3 linked regions of the Drosophila melanogaster genome follow. The gene in region 3 interacts genetically with the main gene of each other region. Each region holds a gene or a part of one and is shown on either strand. Other genes may lie near its edges. The genes, in order: dap, RapGAP1 and Rap1.

Region 1 (6,784 bases), on a different chromosome or scaffold from region 3:
TATAGAGTGGGATATCTCTGACCTCCTCCTGGGGTGGAATGGGCTGGCTCGATTGTCCGCTGTGTGCTGAGGCGATAAGACGCGTTGCATTCGAAATGAGTGTAACGTATATTTTATACGAGACAAGGCAGGACTGGGCTTTGTTGAGGTTTTAGTAGATACGAGATAATGTTCTACCGACCGCGCGACCTTTGACTAGGAAACACTGATGATATTTGCCTAGCCCTTATCTACTCGGGGGGGGGGGGGGGGGGCCATAGTTGAGTGCATATTAGGGAATTCGGATAAGATCCAATTCGATCCTACCAGCATTAAGGACTGCAATCAAGTGAATACCTTGAGTGCCATCCAATGCCCGCACGTTCCACGACAATCCTTTAGGATCTGCCCTCATAAGCGGGACACTTGAGAACCGCTTTTCCACCTCTTTTCTCAGCCTTTTTTTTTTTTGTTTTTCCGCGTGTGTTGACACAACCCATATAAAGCCAGGATATCCTGCTCGGGAGGAAATTACTTAAAGGGATCACGAACTCTTCCCCTTTCGAAAAACTCCTTCTTGAGTTGTTTATGTTTTCAGGCATGACTGCCGCCGAACGCCAGTAGAATTCTCAAATTTGTTATAAAGTGTGTAAATTCACGTTGCTTTTCTTTTTGAGGGAGGGTGTGTCCCATAAACAGAAAACCGAACCACAAGGGATCGGATCTTATGGGAGTGGAAAGGAACGAATTATGGATGGATGATGATGCTGCCTAATCGAACGTTCGTCAAACGATCTCTGCCTTTTTTGGGGTGATTGCACTCCGTTTTTTCTTGTTTTTTTTTTTCTCGGGTTTTTGTGTGGAAAGCCGATGGGTTTTCCCATTATTTCGTCGAGTGCAAAGGACAAAGCAAATGATGTCTTTAGTCTACGAATCTGACTTCCAAGGCTTTGTCCCAATTCTTTCCTTCTTATTTAATTGGATTTGTTCAAACAATATAAATCTCGTTTTATTGCCTTTGGTAGTGTAATTTAATTTTTTACGATTTTGCACACGAAAGGAAAAAAACTTTATGAAAATGCAGCACGAAATGAGCAGAAAACTTGCGTTTCACAAAGTGAACCATAACGGAAATTTGAAATACCCAGTGCTATGCAAACACCACAAGGAAATTCGAACTAGACGTGCACATTATTTTACATACATACATACATACATCGTACAAATGTATATTTGGTGGACCAGTGCCCCACAATGCAAGCGCGATTTTCCCCTTGGCAACACGAGGAAAGTGAAAAGAATTGGTGCCCCAAATGCCCCCTGCCACTTCCCTCCGACGACTAAAAATCCAGTTTGAGGCCAAACAAACCAAAACCATAACATCGTTTTTTCGTATCTTCCCATCGCAATCGCAACTAAAAGTACAGCTCCACCGATGCAACAACAACCAAGAAGGCAGCGAACAGAACACACGGATGGAAATGGCAGGGATGGGTAGATGGCGTGCGAGAGAGTGGGAGACATATGGTGAGAGAGAGAGAGGTTGTGGAAGTTGTGACGACTTTCTTGATACGCTCTATGAAGGAACCTTGGACAGTTTAAAATATAATTAAATTGGTTATTTCAAAAACATTAAAAATAAAATCTGGTTGAATACTGTTTACAAATGAACTATGGGCTTATGAGCTGTGAATATTATTTGACAGGAAATAATGAAAATAATGATAATAATAATAATAATAATAATAATGAATACGTATTATATATTGTACTATATGATGATTCCAACAATCAATAATTATATTAAAGCTCATAATATCAAAACTTTTAAACTCAGATGCCTTAGTTAAATTTTGTTAGGAAACTTTTATTTTTCTGAGTATTTTTTATACGTTTGCTATATAAGTTTAAAGAACAATTCAAAGGAAGTGCATTGCTCTTTCGATATGATTAACATTAAAAGCGCATTCTTTTTCCCTATCTCTTTCGCTCCTGCTGCTTTTCCGATCTTTTCGAATTCGAGGGTTGCTACAGAGAGAGCGTGAACCGCTCTGAATTTCCAGTTGGCAACGCCTCTGGTGGTTGTTTGACGTTTGCTTTTGCCCAGTGTTTTATTTATCTTTTATTCGTTTCTCCGAGTTCGTCGAGAGAGGTTCGCTTCGATCGGTAGCGCTATATTTAAAAATCTAGTGCGCAGTGCGCTCATAGCCGAAAAGGTTAACAAACATCGCTGTAAAAACGACTTCAAGTTGTAAAGACAAATATAATACAAAGGTGCTGCCATTGGCAGCTAACTCATACAAAAACTCCAACGAGACCCGCAAACGTTTCGTTTTGTGAGTCGACTAGCAGTGCAGTGTGTTCGAATCGCCATTCAAAGATAGTGACCAAGTGCTATTGGACCAAGGCATTTGTTTATAATTATTTTTATAAACAATTGCAGCGTGAAATTTCACTTTTGAACGCAGCAAGACGTAAAATAAGCTGCAGCACAACGCACACACAGAACACTCGCTCTCCCTCTCACATACACACACGCTCGCGTGTGGAGACCGTGATTTGTATTCGTGTGGAGACTGCCTCTCTCTCTTTTGGGGCTGTCTGAACACAAAGTTTTGGCGCCAAAAGTTTGACAGTTCGCTTTGGCGTGTAATTCGCAAACAAGTGGCAAGAAAAGTGCGTCTCAAAACAGAGTAGAAAACACTAGGGGATCCCAAAAAAATATATATTGACTCAACATGGTCAGTGCCCGAGTCCTGAATCCTGTGATGATCAGTGAGTTCTGCAAGATGAGCAGCAGCCCGGCGGTGAGTCGCAATCTGGCATGCGGTCGTCAGTTGAATCGCATAAAGCGTGACCTCTTCGGTAGCTCCAAATCCGCCGAGGGTACAGCCAACAAAACGTGAGTTTCTATAATAACAGTTGGATTTTGACCAATAGCTAACAATATATCCTCTTTAGACCCTTTAATTCCGAACTGGAGCGCCATCAAGAACTGGCCACGCAAAAATGGGGCTTTGACTTCCGCGCCGGCTGCCCTTTAGCTGAAAAATCACCCTACATTTGGGAGCGCGTCAGCTTCCAGGAGTCGAGCTTCGCCCCAGAGATGTACACCCTAACACGGGCCGCCCACGTACGCCCTTCCGCGGATGCAAGTCCTAGCGACATGGACATTTTGGTCAACGAGCGCTCAGAACGGGAGAACTTTGGCTCCAATCTGGTCAATTCCTCGCTAGAGTCGAACACGGATAATGAATCTTGTTACGACTCCCAGGACGAGTCGCTGGCAATGCGGCTTAGCTCCTCCAGCACGACAAGCACATCCTCCATAGTCCTGCGCAAGAGACAGCCAAAAATCACAGGTGAGTTTTGGGGGATGTTCTACACCATTTTGATCAGTAGAGCTTGACGGTTCCCAGGGTCAGGCTTCATTTCACTTCGATAGACGTTACAAAGTGTTTTCCCATAGCTTTCCTTTTATTCCCTGTTTATTTTCGGTTCTCAGGAGGAAGTTGAGGGTGTTTTTTTTTTTTTTTTAACTTATCAGGCTTGTTTTGTAATCGGACTGATACGATATTATTTTTCAAAATTATCTGTAGAGTAGAGAGTATTATCTAAAAATTTCCGAATATAGTGCTCGAGATATAAAAGTAGATTCGTGCTCTTTGTTTTGCAAACTCGATGAAAACGATTTTCATCAATGATTTTATGCCAAACCAATATTTTGTGCAGGATTTTGTACTTACAATACTAAACTCCATAAGGGGTTGTTTGATTGGTTTTAAGTCCACTCCTTCGCATTTATTGTTTATATTCACGTTTTAGTTGTGGGCGTTTTTCGTGAAACTTAGACCCAAATTATAGCAATTAGCCAATGCTTTGTGGGAGATTTATTTTCGTCCAGAAGGGTAAGTCAAAGCTGACTGCAGCTGTTTCAGCTCCTCATCTCCCTAAACCGAATGATTCTCTTCTGATCCTCCACAACGCGGGGGTTGGTTTCCAGATCGATAGCATGCGGGCTGGCTGGCTGCATCTATAAATGCCAACAGCTGTGACTCCGCTTTGTCTATGGCCTGACCTCATTATAGAAAACGGGAGAGGGGTCTGGGGATCGGCTTTCAATGCACCACCATCCAGAGTCCATGGTCTTATCAAACCTCCCTTTGATTGCTTTGTACTGAGCGTTTTTTATAAATGCCACTAGCACATGCATGTGTAATTATAATCATAAAAAAATTGTGTCTGTTCGGAACATAATAAATGCACCCGCATCGGGTGGTCAGTAGGGAAGCCTTTGAATCCCCCAACGCCTCAACTCGCTTTACTTAAAGTGCACTTTTTGCTGCTTTGGCCAGTAAGCTAGAGCTCATAATTTATGCAGTTATGTAGCACCACCACTCTTGCTTTCACCGGACTACCTGAAAACCGGCTAAAGACCGACTGTCTGGCTGCCGTCTGGCATTTATTTGCTACCCCTGTGCGGATCTGCAACCCTCTGGTAGGGAAGTGCTGCCGTCCACGTGCCACAATCTGGGAATCTACCCGAAACCGAAATCAAAATGTGCAAAAACAGAAAAACAGGCGGCGCCTGCTGTTTAGGGATCAGTGACTTGTGAACAGGGGCAACCGGAAATGCAGCAGCTGACTTTGATTTGGCAATTCCACCTAACACGTATTAATAACACTCGTTTTCCTTCCTTTGTTTACAGAATTCATGAAGGAGCGCAAACGTCTGGCCCAGGCACCCAAGAAACTATCGCCCGCAAAGCGCATGCGCACCAGTTCTCCCAGTTCGTCCGCCACTTCCAGCTCCAGCTCCAGCGGTGGATTTGGGTTGGGGGCACACTTTGGGGCGATGTTGAAGCGGCCGCGCCACAACTAATGCTCCAGATTCGCTGGCCAACCCACCGAATTGCAATTTGTAATTTTATTTTTTACAAGCCACTGCGATTGTGTAGTATTTCCTAATTTTTTATTACGAACCTTTTTATGCAGTGCAAGGGCGACAGTTGCGAATATTAATCGTTAGTCTTCAACTACTCGTAACCAGTAATTAGTTGTAAGTCAACCAGTAAGCTCGAGCTAAATGAAACTTTTTAGATTTCTCTAGTGAGAAATGCCATAAACTAAGTGATTAGTTCTTAACAACAAACAACTATTGAACAAGAAGAGAGAGACCGCAAGCTAAATGGAATTAGTCTTAACTATCTTGAAGCCAACCGAAATTTAACCTTTATAACGATGGAATACTAACTTTACATAACTTTGTGAAATCCTTGCAAATTTCGCCGGCAACTTTTGCATTTGAAATTTGCCGGGTGAACAAAACTCATCCTTTCTCTGCCCTGCCACTTCATCCAAGTACTGAAACTGAGGGGAGAGTAGAATTGAGTTTTGTCTTGCATATTAAGGGCGCCAAAACGATGCCCCAATAAGCCGCATTTCGGCTCATTGCTGCTTTGTTTTTGCGACCTACTAACATTGTAACCAATTCGACCAGTGGAAAACAAAAAAAAAAAAGAGGAATGCCTTTGAATTAACTTCGTCAATTTCTGCACGTTTGGATGCCTTATTTATATGAATGCCGCCGAATGGACACAAATTGTCGCGCTCTCATTTCTTAACCAGTGCTAAAAATGTCTTTTATGATTTGCTATGATCTCTGGGCAAATTATGAAAACAATTTTGCCTGAAACTATCATGTACAAAAACTAGATTATTATACATACTATACACATAGGCAGAGCCTATTCTTCATAACACTTATACAAAGCATTAATTTGTAAGGCCTAACTAAGAACAAATCCAAAGTATTCTCCTAATATTTATATGTATAGACACTCTATGTATAATTAAACCATATTCAACTCATACATCAATAAACAAAACAAAAACAACGCGATTGTCCTGTTTCAAAATTACCAACACATCCGCATTACTTTGGTTGTAGACGTAGCAGTAAAATGTAGTTTACTAAAACAATTTTGTACATTTTATAAGTTAATATTTGTTTTTCTGCAATAAATTGTTTTTGATTTTCTAGTTGGTAGTACATAAATCGCGTTTTTAATTTTTAATTTCATTTTTATAAAATATCGTGGGATGCCAACAAAATTCAATCCCGCGTCAATAGAAACGAATCATTGCTTCAGTTTTATTCAATAAATTAATTTGATTTATTGCTTACATCAAGTACATAAATATTAATTTGTTCCATTCGACGCTTTGTAGATTTACCTATGTGCCAATTAGTTGATCTGTACTCTACATACAAATATATATATCGCATATATACAGAGGGCTGTGGATATGGGCACCTACTTGCCCGCCGCCTTCTCCTCCAGCTGGGCTTGAATGTGGCGTACGTTGTGGCCGCCGCCATTGGGGTTGTGGCGCTGGAAGAAGGCGTTGATGGAGCTCATGGAGCGGTACTCCAGATTGTCGCTGACCCGCCAGTCCACGCTGATGCTCTGGTGACGACCCACCGGATTGCGGATGCGGGTCTCGTTGTATTTCTCCAACAAATGCAGCAGGCAATCCTTGGTGGTGTTGGCCGCCTCCTCCAGATTCACGGTTTGATGAGTGTCCGGCAGCCCAACGGGCACATCGCGACTCATCTGATTTATCCTGAACTTGGCTCGACGACTGCTGGCCGATTCGTTGCTGGCGCTGGTGGTAATTGGATTGCTGGCGCCGGTGGAGCTTGGGTTGCTGGCGCTGGTCGAGATTGAGTTGCTGGCGTTGGAGGCTATATAATTGCTGGAGCTGGTGTTACTGCTTCTGGTGCTGCTGGAGATCACCTTGG
Region 2 (5,257 bases), on a different chromosome or scaffold from region 3:
TTTTAAGCTGATCGCAGGAAGATAAAATGGTTATAAAAACCAAAAATACACGTAATAATCATGCGTGACGCATTTCAATCGAACTCCAAAGACACAGAAAACAAAACGCAAGAAAACTCGGGAACCGCCAAAAACGAGATGAAGAAAGAGGGAGAGGAATGAGACAAAAACGGAACTTTTTTGTGGTTATTTCTTTTTATAAATATTTCTCATTTGTAGTTTCTTTTCAGTGGTTTGACATTTGTCTGTGCTGATTATGTTATTCCGTCATTTCATGCACTTGTTATTGGATGGAATTTTCGTAATTGAATTGCACAAAATATTACGCACACAATTTCACTTGGTTTCAACACTTTCTTCGCTTCTGCTTTTGGATTCTTTGCTCGTTACATTTCAATTTCAGCCAACGATTTTTGTTTAAAAATTTCACTTTTAACTACGTGCGCGTATTTATGCAGCTGTTTTTTTTTTTTGGCAAACTTATTTTGATTTCTATTTGTCTTGCCCATTAAGACACCTTTGCCACTTTCGCTTCTAATTTTTTGATAAGGCCAACAAATGCGATTTCAATTTGTTGTTATTCAAGCACACACGTTCAATTAAAAGTTCGTCAAACATTTTGCTTATTGTTTGTCTATTTATTGCTTTCGTTTTCTTTCTTTTGTTTAGGCTGTTTAGGAAACCGCCTCAGTGGGATCAATTGCAAATTAATTGTTGAAGAAAGTTTGCGTGTTATGCTTAGCATGATTTGTTTTTGTTCACTTTTTTCAAGAATTCAAAACCACAAATCATCATTGCCTTAATTGGTTATATTAATTTTATAATTTTTTTGGTTGATTACCTAGCACTTTCACATATTCGAGTATTCGTTTGTTGTTTGCTCTTCTTTTTTAACAATTTTCTTGTTTGTTTTGATTTTTCCATTCGTGGCGCTTCTCGCCGTCTTCTGTTGCTGTCGATTTGCAACTGCTTTGCGTTCTACCGTTACTTTTCGAACAGCTAATGAAGAAGACGCATCAGCGTCTGGACCGCAGACCCGAAATATATTACGATTCCTGTTCCGATTCCCGATATCAGGATTTCGCGACGCAGACGCGCGACAACGCTCACACACACGCCCGGTCGTCCTCGCACACGCACACACTTAGTCGGACACTCGCTGGCTCGGACGCCCACACGAGTTGGTTCACAAATCGACTCTGAGTCGCAAAGCAGAAAAGCTGCGGGTCTGGCCCCAAACGAACACGAATGCGAGCGACGAACAACATCGTTGCGCACGAAGCTCAGATTTCAGGTTCCACTGGCGAATGCGATCCACAAACTCCACAGTGGGGGCCAAAATAATAGTGGCTGTGGATCCAGTTATGGAGATTTTATTTATGTACACATATATTATGAAGCTTAGACAGATAAAAATTATTTAATGCAGCGCAGACAAAGAAGAGTGGAATGATATATGAAATAACATGTAAAACATGTGATGATACAGATATGCATTAATTCATATTAAAGAGCAGATAATTTTATAAAAATCCGTGCTATTGCTGCGACCTTAACTGTACGTGCACGTTGCATTTTTGTTAAGGCGAGAGAGCGAGTTTGTTGTTGTTCTGCTCTCACTGCTTTTGTTGCCTTTATGGGGGCGAAATTCTTGTTTATTTACATTTATTTACATTCCAAATGCGCGCAGTTTAGGCAAACAGAAAGAGTTGTTGCCAGGGGAGAGCGGAGCTGCCCGCATTAGCCAAAGTAAACAGTTTGGAAAACAATGCAATTCAAAGAAGCCGGCAATGCAGTTGCCAGTTAATTATTTGCACAGTGTACCCCAAAAGTATGCAGAAGGCAATGATTTCCCTCCACCGAGAGATAACCAAAACAAACCGAATAACCGGAACCGGCGTGGGACACCAATACACAAGTAAACAGAGGCACGAGCCAAAAACAGTCGGCGTTCGCCCCCTTGGAAAGTGGTGTTATTCCAGAACACGTTCTTTCATGAGCCTTTTTCGAGAGAAAGTATTTTCACAATTTGGATATACCATTTTTCTGGATTTCTGATGTCAACCCGAATAAGTATTACAGAATACGAAATTGAATATGTATGTATGTATGTTATAGTAGTTATAAAAAAGAATTTTCCGTCAACTTTTGTTGACTAAACATTGTTTTTTGTCTTGTACACCAAATCTAACAATTTGTGGAAAAAGAATCACTTTGAAAAGTGTTCACAAACTTTCGACTTGTATTTGTAAATGCAAAAAATGCAGTTCTCCCGCGAACTGTTTCCACAATCCACAAAATGACGTCGGCGTGTTGCACTTGTTCCCTCGTTTTTATCATCCACATGCTTGCCGATGTTTTCGTTGGCGGCTGATAACGAACAGCTGATAACCACACGATAAACCGCAGCTGCGAGGGGCGTTTCGAAAACCCGAAAACAGATAACCAACTGTTGCATGCCCCACATTTTTGGGGTTACACATCAAAGTGAACCGCAAGACAATGGATGCCACTTCTTTGGTAGTTTCTATATAAACAGGTATGGAATGCATGCATATATTTGGTCATTCAACATTTATCTCGGTCTCCATGGAAGTGATTTACAAGAGAAAGAAATAAAATTGATTTGTTTACGATGTGTAGGTAATAAATGGGTAAAATCATTTTAAAACCTTTCAAATGCTAGGCACAAACAAATTTTAAATTCTTGACCACCTGATGCTCTGATTCTAAACGATTAACCACATTAATATCTTGGCACTCATAAAAATGAGTAATTTATTAATGAATAAATTGAAAAAAAAAACTAGTTTTTATCATTAAGTGCACTTACCTTAGTGGTTCTGTCAGCATATCTATATTCTCGCAGCTTTCCATCTCCAGTCGCTGGTATTGCAATTGCCTGGCACTCGAAGTGCTCGATCTGCCCCCTGATCCTCCCGAAATTGTGGCCGAGTTGGATGAATGGCGACGATACTCGGCGAAACTCTCGCTTTTGCGGAGACCCGGAATTTTTCCGGAACTGTTGCGCCAGTACTTGATCATCCGGTGTAGGGGCTTGGGCGAACTGGCTGCCGAACTCGGGGCCAGCGATATTTCACTGCTTCCCACTATAATCGGATGGCCATGATCCACCAATGTCCTGTAGGAACTCATTTTTATCGCCTAAATCTACTAAATTTTGAAAGGTTACTCTTGAGAATATGTACTAACAGAATATGTACTATGTACTCTAGTAATTGCATGTGTTTTTTATTAGTTTGTTTTATTATAATGAATTTATTAAGTTAATTGAAATATATACGTTTATAACTTTCCATATAGATTGTAGAATATATTATATTTTTAATTTATATTTTTCACTGCGAATTGGTACTCTTATCATTTCTACTCCGGGCTTACACTTAGATTTATTATATTCACTCATTACACAATGTGACTATAGTTATAAAATTAATTTATGTCTACATTTTTTTTTTCTTTGCATAAATTAGAATTCGTTCGTTGCATAAATCGCGTTTCGTTGGGGTTTCGATATGATGTCGCGTCGCGCCGCCTTCGATTTTCCGACTGACCGCAACAAAGAATCGGAACAGAGCCCCAAGAACCGACTTTTTAGAACCGAGCTCCATTATCTGGAGCGTTCTCCCTCGCTTGTTTTTGCTCTCCCTCTCTTTCCATTTCCATTGTTTTTATAACTTCGCACGTTTTATTGCATAGTGTTTTTTTCTGAATTTACTTATATTTCTTGCGATTTCATTATTTTAAACATACCGGGTACTTCTGATCTTAATTGGGAATATATGTACTTAAAGCGATCATATAAGCATCAAAAATCTGTTCAAACAATGTTTTTTTTTTTATATATTTATTTATTTAGAAGCGATGAATCAATACAATGCAATAACAGTAACATAACAGCGCAATTAACATATAAAAGATAAAACCAAACCTCTCACTAATCATGTGAGGACTTAATTCAAACAATGTACTATAAATAATAAATATTCTCACCTTTTTGGGGTTAATGTGTTTTATTAAAAATTAAATTTACATTTTTTAGGTTTAATTTAGAAACCACTAAAGAAGTGGATATTGTACTCTTTTATAAATATAAAAGGTATATTCCATTCTTAAGCGCCAGTTAAACGTTTTTACTAGTTTTGGATTGTATTTCAGTTTTACTGTGCTGGTGATAAATGACCGAGCTGGGATTCCGCTAAGTCAGCTCGTTTTCATTTTATTGCTGCCGATATACAAATTAAGTGTAATCCGTACATATAGAGACGTCTTTATTTATTTTTATTTACCATTTCCAGCTATCGGATATCTCAGGGTTTTCAGCACCGCCCCCTTTAACACGCCCCATGAATAGAAACCATTGTCTAGTTCAATGCTCCAATCAATCACCATTTAGACTTTGGTTAATTAATTAAACAATCCATCAAGATTTTCTCTTATCTGATTCTTACACCTTCGTTTGACATTTTCAGGTGCTGGGAAATTGATTTGCGCATAATAAGCGACGATTTTACTCAGATTTTCCTCATTTCTATGGCACTTGGAATAGGAAAAAGTAGTGTGGGGACAACTGGAAAATATAAATGTCTCATCGATGCATCAATGAGTCAAGCTGGGTTTACGATTCTGCTGCGGGTCACCACCAAGAACTTTAATGGTTCTCGAAAAGAGGGTGATAAGGAAACAGACTTCAGGGCGTCGCAATATGCACAAAAAACGGACGGAGAATAAGTGCATTAAAGTCGATGGGGGGGATGAAGACAGTGGCGTCGAAAAGTGGTTCCACAACTGCTAAATGCCGCTGCAATCGAGTTAACAGGTAATGGAATATCCAGCAAATCAGATAAATGGAACATGCAAAACAAATCGCTCGATAAGAGAGCTGTAAATATGAAAATTATAAAAAAGAAATCAAGTCGTTGTAGCTTCAAGATACTCTTTTTAGTAAAATGCATCTGCCTGCATTCAAAATAGAAAATGGCATTTCTATTTTGTCGAAATACTTCTTATCTGTTTTAATGCCTTTTGATGCATTTCAAAAATTCATGTGACTTAATAAGTGTTTAATGTTTAATTTTCCCCCTATCGCGATCTCCTAATTACAGAGTATCAAAACCAATTTAAAGTGAAATCGAAAACCCAAATCGAAATCGAATTCGCAGTTGCTACTGTAACGGTTTCGGCCACGGGAAAGTCGAGTAAGATTTATCATGACATTTCCTTGATGACGATACTC
Region 3 (6,241 bases):
ACATATATTCCTTGTTTGTATACGTTTTGTTTACCCTTTCGTTGTTGCCAAATTAGCGTAGTTAAGTTTTATGCATAATTTGTAATCGATACTAAGGCGGCCTCTTTTAAGCCGCGATTGCTAGAGATTGCTAGAAAGCCACACTCACTCACACGTTCGACTGATTATAAAAAGCGTTAATTAACAAGCATCACACCAGGAATCGGAGGCGAGTCCCCCAGTATAGCACTTTGCTTAGCCCAAAACCTAGTCATGAAGCGGAACTCGAGCCACTTATTGTACAGTAATAGAAACTACCACGTAACTCTGTCTTAAAATTCACTTTCTACATTTTAACTGCTGGCGAGCGATTCGCCGGCTTCTACGAAAAGCATGCATTATGATTGTATATCTCAACCCGCGAATCTCTCGGAACTTGCATACCATATCAGCTGTGGATACAATGCGGTTTTACTACTCCTACGCCCCAACTTAACTCCGAATCGATCCTATCGCAGATCTTACGCTGGATTAACATGCGTGCTATAAACTAGCAGAATATTATAATTATAAAGACGAGCTATTTGATTGTAATTGTATATGTATAAATATTTGAATAACAACCTTATATAACTATTCCAAGTATCAAATACAGATATTTCAAAACTTCAATGCAATCGTCTTGTCTTTAACTTCTGAATGAACTATGCTAAGAATAAGGCATACGCTCCACAAATGAATTTATTTAATTTTTATTTTGTTTTTGCATTTCCTTTTTAATTTTTTATAAACATAATACATTTATTAATAATTAAAAGATGCTCGATCATGTCGACCTACTGCGTCGCGAATTCGGGACTGCCAGGATTCTGAGATCAGAGGCTCTGTGTGGGGTCCCAAAAACGCGACCAGTAGGGAAACAAGTTCGAAAAAATGGTTTTTCAATTACATTTTTCACACGCTCATTATTACATTATGTTATTGTAACGGTTGGTTTGTTTGTTGTTTATTATGTTCAAAAATGATTTGTATCTTTATCATATATTTAATATATACGCTTGGGCTTAGGTTTTATTTAGTTTACTTTTAATGTTGGTTGTTGGCTGTGTTTAGACTTTGATTTAAGGGCATATTGGTTACTACTCGTACGCGAAGTTTATGCAATGTTTATTATGAAATATTTGTAAATTACTTCGTTTTTAGGTTTCTTTTCATTTTGGGATTGACACGACAGTTTAGTTTGTGTTAAACCATTTCTTATGTATTAAATATTCTAGAATTTGTGGCTCTCTCTGCACTTCCTGCTCCTCTTCTTTTTACCAGGAAGCGGAAATGAGCCTTGGCCGCAGGAGCCTCTTGTCTCGATTCCGCTTCCGTTTTCGTGTAGCTTTTTCGCTCTCTGAGAGCGCGCCGGAAATGTGTAGGTGTGTTTGTGTGTGTGAGTTCTGGTTGCGAATGTGTGTGTGTGTGTGTGGGATGTGGCTGGTATGTGTGTGTTTGGGGGGGGGGGTTCAGATTTGATGCAACTGATCGTGGTAAACAATTAATTGTAAATTTGTTTTAAACTAATTTCTAAGGGGGAGGGGGCTCATTACTTCTGGTTGTTTGCAACATTTTGACATCATTTGCATACAATATTTTTATAAAATATGTTCCTTATTCATGATTCATTTCCTTTCTCGATTTATTTGCTCATTTCTCTCGTGGAATTTGTTATCTTTATCTTTTAGGCGTACAATTTAGTTTAGCTTAATTTGATTTGTGTTTCGAATGTTGTTTTCGGTTCTATTTAAAGATATACTTGTTGTTGGTTGGGCTTTCGCGTGTATAAGTAGTTGTAGTTGTAGATGTGTAGAGTACAATCGAAAAGAATCAATAAATACGAATGTTTTAGTTTACGAATGTTTCACTTGTTGCATAATTTAAAAAACGGCTCAAAAACGAACGACAAATATATTTAAATATGTAGATATATATATATAATAATTCCCCATATGAATTAATGGTTAATCAGCGAAAAATAGTACAATCATAATAGTAGTAAATGGTAATAATTACAAAAACTTGAAACAGTTAAAAACATTTGTCAGTTTAAGTTTTGCTTGTATATAGTAGATTGGTTATTTCAATTCGACAATTGCCATCGGATCCAAAACGAAACGAGAACGAAAAAAATTTGAAAATTCTTTACTTTACGCTTATACTTTTGCTCCTCTCTCCTCCTCCTCTGTTATATATTTTTTTTTTTGTTTTTTTAGTTTTGGTGGTTTTTGGAAGTCTTATAGCAGAACACATAGGGACTTTTTCGGCTTCTTCTGTTTCTTCTCGGGCGACTTCTTGTTGATCTGCCGGACCAGGTCGTAGAAAATATCGTTCACATTCACTTTGGCTTTGGCTGAGGTCTCCATGAAGGCGCAGTTGAACTGGGTGGCCAGGTTCTTGCCCAGCTCCTTGCCGACGACGCGCTCCTCTTCGAGGTCGCACTTGTTGCCCACGAGCACCATGGGCACATCGTCCGTGTCCTTCACCCGGAGTATCTGCTCGCGCAGGTCCTGCAGATCGTTAAACGTCGATTGCGCCGTGATCGAGTAGACCAGCACGAATCCCTGGCCGTTCTTCATGTACAAATCCCGCATGGCCGTGAACTGCTCCGTACCCGCCGTGTCCAGGATCTCCAGCATGCACTGCTGTCCGTCCACCTCCACCTGCTTCCTGTAACTGTCCTCGATGGTGGGATCGTACTTCTCCACGAAGATGCACTGGACAAACTGGACTGTCAGCGCGGATTTGCCCACGCCGCCGCTTCCAAGGACCACGATTTTGTACTCACGCATGCTGGCTGCTGTGCTGTTTGTATATCCTTCGTATATCTCTTGTTTTGTGCTAAATTCTAGGGAAGAGACCCAAAATGCAGGTAGGCCAGGTAGGTGGGTTCACTTTCCAGGTGGCTCTCCCTCGAAAATCACTTGTTTTTAGGCGTTGTTCGGCGATTGCTTGTCGGTTGCAGTTGTTTTTTGTTTTTGTTTTTTTTTGTTGCTCTTGCTTATTAGTTAATATATGTTTTATATTTAAAGTAAATTGTTTGTTGTTGTTGCTTTTGCTGTTGATAACCTTTGTGCCGTGTAAGTGACTGCGTGAGTGTGTGTGTGTTAGTGTGTGTGAATGTGTGATGGTGTTTGTGCTCCCTCTCTCGCTCGCTCCTTCCGCCGAGTTGCGTGCGTTCAATTGTTGCTTTTTTGAGCGGAAATATCCTGGCTTGACTGTTCCTCGAGACGGCCGTCACTGCTACCGAGAGCACACTGTGGGGGGAGTAAGAAGAAAGGCGCTTTTTAGACACAATAAACGCTAAATTCTTTGCGAGTCTTTTTGGTTTGCGTTTTTTGGTATGCTGAGAACTGACTGCACTCCCTCTTTTCTTCTTCACAACTCTCTCGTTCTCGTTCTCGCTCTAATGATTCATTTTCAGGGTTGCCAGGCGGCCGCACCGAACGCAGCGCCCCACTGCAACGCCTCAAGCCGGAGATTCCCTTAAATTTCACTCAGCTCTCTCACTTAAAATGCACTTAAATTGCACACTGGGCACCCATGTGCGTACATCGGCCTACCGAACGGCCACTAAACAACTGAACCACGCAAATGCACCCGCATGTCGGGCGGCAGGGCAACTCTGGGCGGAGTTTTACCTATGCTTTTCACTCGCTGCCGCCAACTGCTTGCTCCTTGGGGACCGCTTCACCTGTCGCCGCTCGCGAATCGCTTCACTTTTAATTTAACACTAGTTTGCCTTGTAATTTCTTTACTTTTTCGCCCTCAGCGAACAGCGAACACTCAAAGACTAGGGCTGCCAAAGCATCGATGGCACTATCGGCACTCGCAGGCCGAGGGCTACGCACGACTATCGCAATGGCTTAGCGATGACACTTTTAAAGCATTGCTGTAAATTTTAAAAATAAACTATAAAATTTATATTCGAAATATATTTGATTCTTTTAAATTTATATTAGCACATCAAATTTTGGAAATATTTAAATTGTTATTTTCCCTATATATTTTTTTTTAATTTTAATTTTGTTAATACGATTTCATATTGAAATTGTTTTCTACAGTAAGTGATATTTTATGGTATTCCTATTTTATTTTTTAAGCATAATTTGCAAATAATATATAAGCTGTGTTGCCGATAGTTTAAGAAAAAATTCTAATGCTTGATTGTTTCATGAATCAGCAATATGATTCGCATTCAGAATTTTAGTCAGCCGCATATTCACATTTTCGAGATACAGTTTTGAATCATAGAATTTATCATAAGGAAAATAATTACAATTTATACAAAAATTGCAATATCACGTTTTTGGAATATTATTGTAGGGGTCATAATATTCCAAAAACGTGATATTGCAATTTATGTATAAATTGTAATTATATTCCTTATGATTAATTCAATGATAATAAATATAATAATTTCTTAAAGTGATTAATTCCATGAAAAACACACTCCACTTTAAGATACCGCTAAAATGGTCAGACCGAAATCTCTTCCAATGCTTCAGCGTCTTTTCGATTTAATCAATTCATATAAACTATGTATATTTAGGAAATCAACAAAAGTTAATATCTAACTAAAATTTCGTACAAAATCCAGCGCGGTCATCGACCTAGCGGATCTTGGTGACCATTCCGGCGGCAATGGTGACTCCCGCCACGCGAAGCATCACGCGTCCCAGCTCCTTGAAGTCCGCATACCGCTCGATGCAGATGGGTCTGCTGGTTTCCAGTTCCACTAGGGCACACGAGTTGTTGCCCAGGCAACGCGGCTTCTTCTTGACCACCTCGCCGGTGCTCTTGTGAATCGATGCGGTCAGCTTGCAGACCACGGCGGGCTCTATTAGGGATTGGTGGTGCAGCAGCACGGGGAAGCCCATGGTAATGGGCACCTTGACGTTGAACACGATTATGCGGGCCTGGAATCGCGTTGTCACCGGAATAGGGGTTTGTGGATCGCTGATGATGCAGCCCACGGTGACGTTGTTGATGTCCAAGGCGGGCAGGGTGACGGAGACCTGATCGCCGGCGAACACGCAAGTCTGTGGGAATTCGTTCATGGTAAGGGATTTCACTTGGGCCTGCTCCCGGCTGGCACCCACCAGCACCTTGTCGTTCAGGCACAGCACTCCGGTTTCCACTCGTCCCGAGATGCAGAATCCGGAGCCAGTGCCCTTGTAAATGTCCGACACGGACATTCGCAGCGGTCTGTCGATGGCTCTTTCGGGGATCTTGAAGTTCTCAATGACATCGAGGAGGTGGCGTCCACTGTACCAGTTGGTCAGGGCGGGTTCCTGGGCTTTCTTGGTGAGGTTCTCGCCGGTTAGTCCGGAACAGGGCGTAAAACTCACATCGGAATCCTTGAAGCCCGCCAGTTTGAGGAAGGACTTTAGCTTGGTCACAATCTCTGTGAATCGGTCCTGGGACCAGCCAACGGTGTCCAGCTTGTTGATGACCACGCCTAGCTGGTTAACCCCCAGGGATCGCACTAGAATGGCGTGCTCTCTAGTCTGTCCGCCGAGCTCAAAGCCGGATTCAAACTCTCCCCTTGTAGCATCCACCACCAGAAGGGCAACATCCGCCTGTGTGGCACCGGAGATCATGTTCGGAATGAAGTCCTTGTGCCCCGGAGCATCCAGCAGTGTGACGATCTTGGTCTTGGTTTCGATACGCGACTGGCCCACGTCCATGGTGATGCCGCGGGCCCGCTCCTCGCCCGTCTCGTCCAGCACCCAGGCATACATGAAGCTCTGCTTGCCCAGCTTCTTGGACTCCTGCTCGTGCTTGTGCATCACTCGCTGCGAAACGTTGCCGGTGTCGTACAGTAGATGGCCCATCAGCGTACTCTTCCCGGCGTCGACGTGACCAATGACAATCATGTGAATGTGGCTCTTCTGGTCGGCTCGCTCCTTCTCGTACAGCTGGCGGGCATTGCGCACGGCCTGTTCCTTGGAGACCTTGAAAACGGTTGCTGAGCTACGGGAGATGTCGTCGCCGGCGCTAATGTCAACGGGTGTGTTTCTGCCCGAGACCACAGGCGATGAGGGCACCTTGGGCGAGGGTATTTCGAAGCCACGTCGCGGCTCTTTAAGGCTGATCTTGGGTGGTGGCGTAGGCACCGTTTTGCTGACCGTCTTTGGCAGCACTGGAGCAGCGGGCGCTTTCATCTTATTCACAGCCGGCTTGGCAGACTTGTTGGTCTCTTCGTTGAGGATCTCGT

What was found.
Region 1: of Rap1 (region 3) and dap, changing one enhances a phenotype caused by changing the other (phenotypic enhancement), as found in Drosophila melanogaster (one study listed by BioGRID).
Region 2: of Rap1 (region 3) and RapGAP1, changing one enhances a phenotype caused by changing the other (phenotypic enhancement), as found in Drosophila melanogaster (one study listed by BioGRID).

The regions. Positions count from the first base shown.
Region 1 is NT_033778.4:9,710,223-9,717,006, forward strand, and holds dap (dacapo), read left to right. Parts: upstream 1-2,098; 5' UTR 2,099-2,717; coding exon 2,718-2,881; intron 2,882-2,940; coding exon 2,941-3,341; intron 3,342-4,688; coding exon 4,689-4,861; 3' UTR 4,862-6,034; downstream 6,035-6,784. Other genes in the region: sqa (spaghetti-squash activator), read right to left, coding at 6,297-6,784.
Region 2 is NT_033779.5:7,575,404-7,580,660, forward strand, and holds the start of RapGAP1 (Rap GTPase activating protein 1), read right to left. Parts: upstream 3,578-5,257; 5' UTR 3,157-3,577; coding exon 2,834-3,156; intron 1,205-2,833; exon of another isoform or gene 842-1,204; intron 611-841; exon of another isoform or gene 331-610; intron 1-330.
Region 3 is NT_037436.4:1,858,399-1,864,639, forward strand, and holds Rap1 (Rap1 GTPase), read right to left. Parts: upstream 3,842-6,241; 5' UTR 3,663-3,841; exon of another isoform or gene 3,532-3,662; intron 3,419-3,531; exon of another isoform or gene 3,279-3,418; 5' UTR 2,814-3,278; coding exon 2,259-2,813; 3' UTR 717-2,258; downstream 1-716. Other genes in the region: HBS1, read right to left, coding at 4,635-6,241. UniProt on the Drosophila melanogaster protein: Ras proteins bind GDP/GTP and possess intrinsic GTPase activity. Plays a role in photoreceptor cell determination.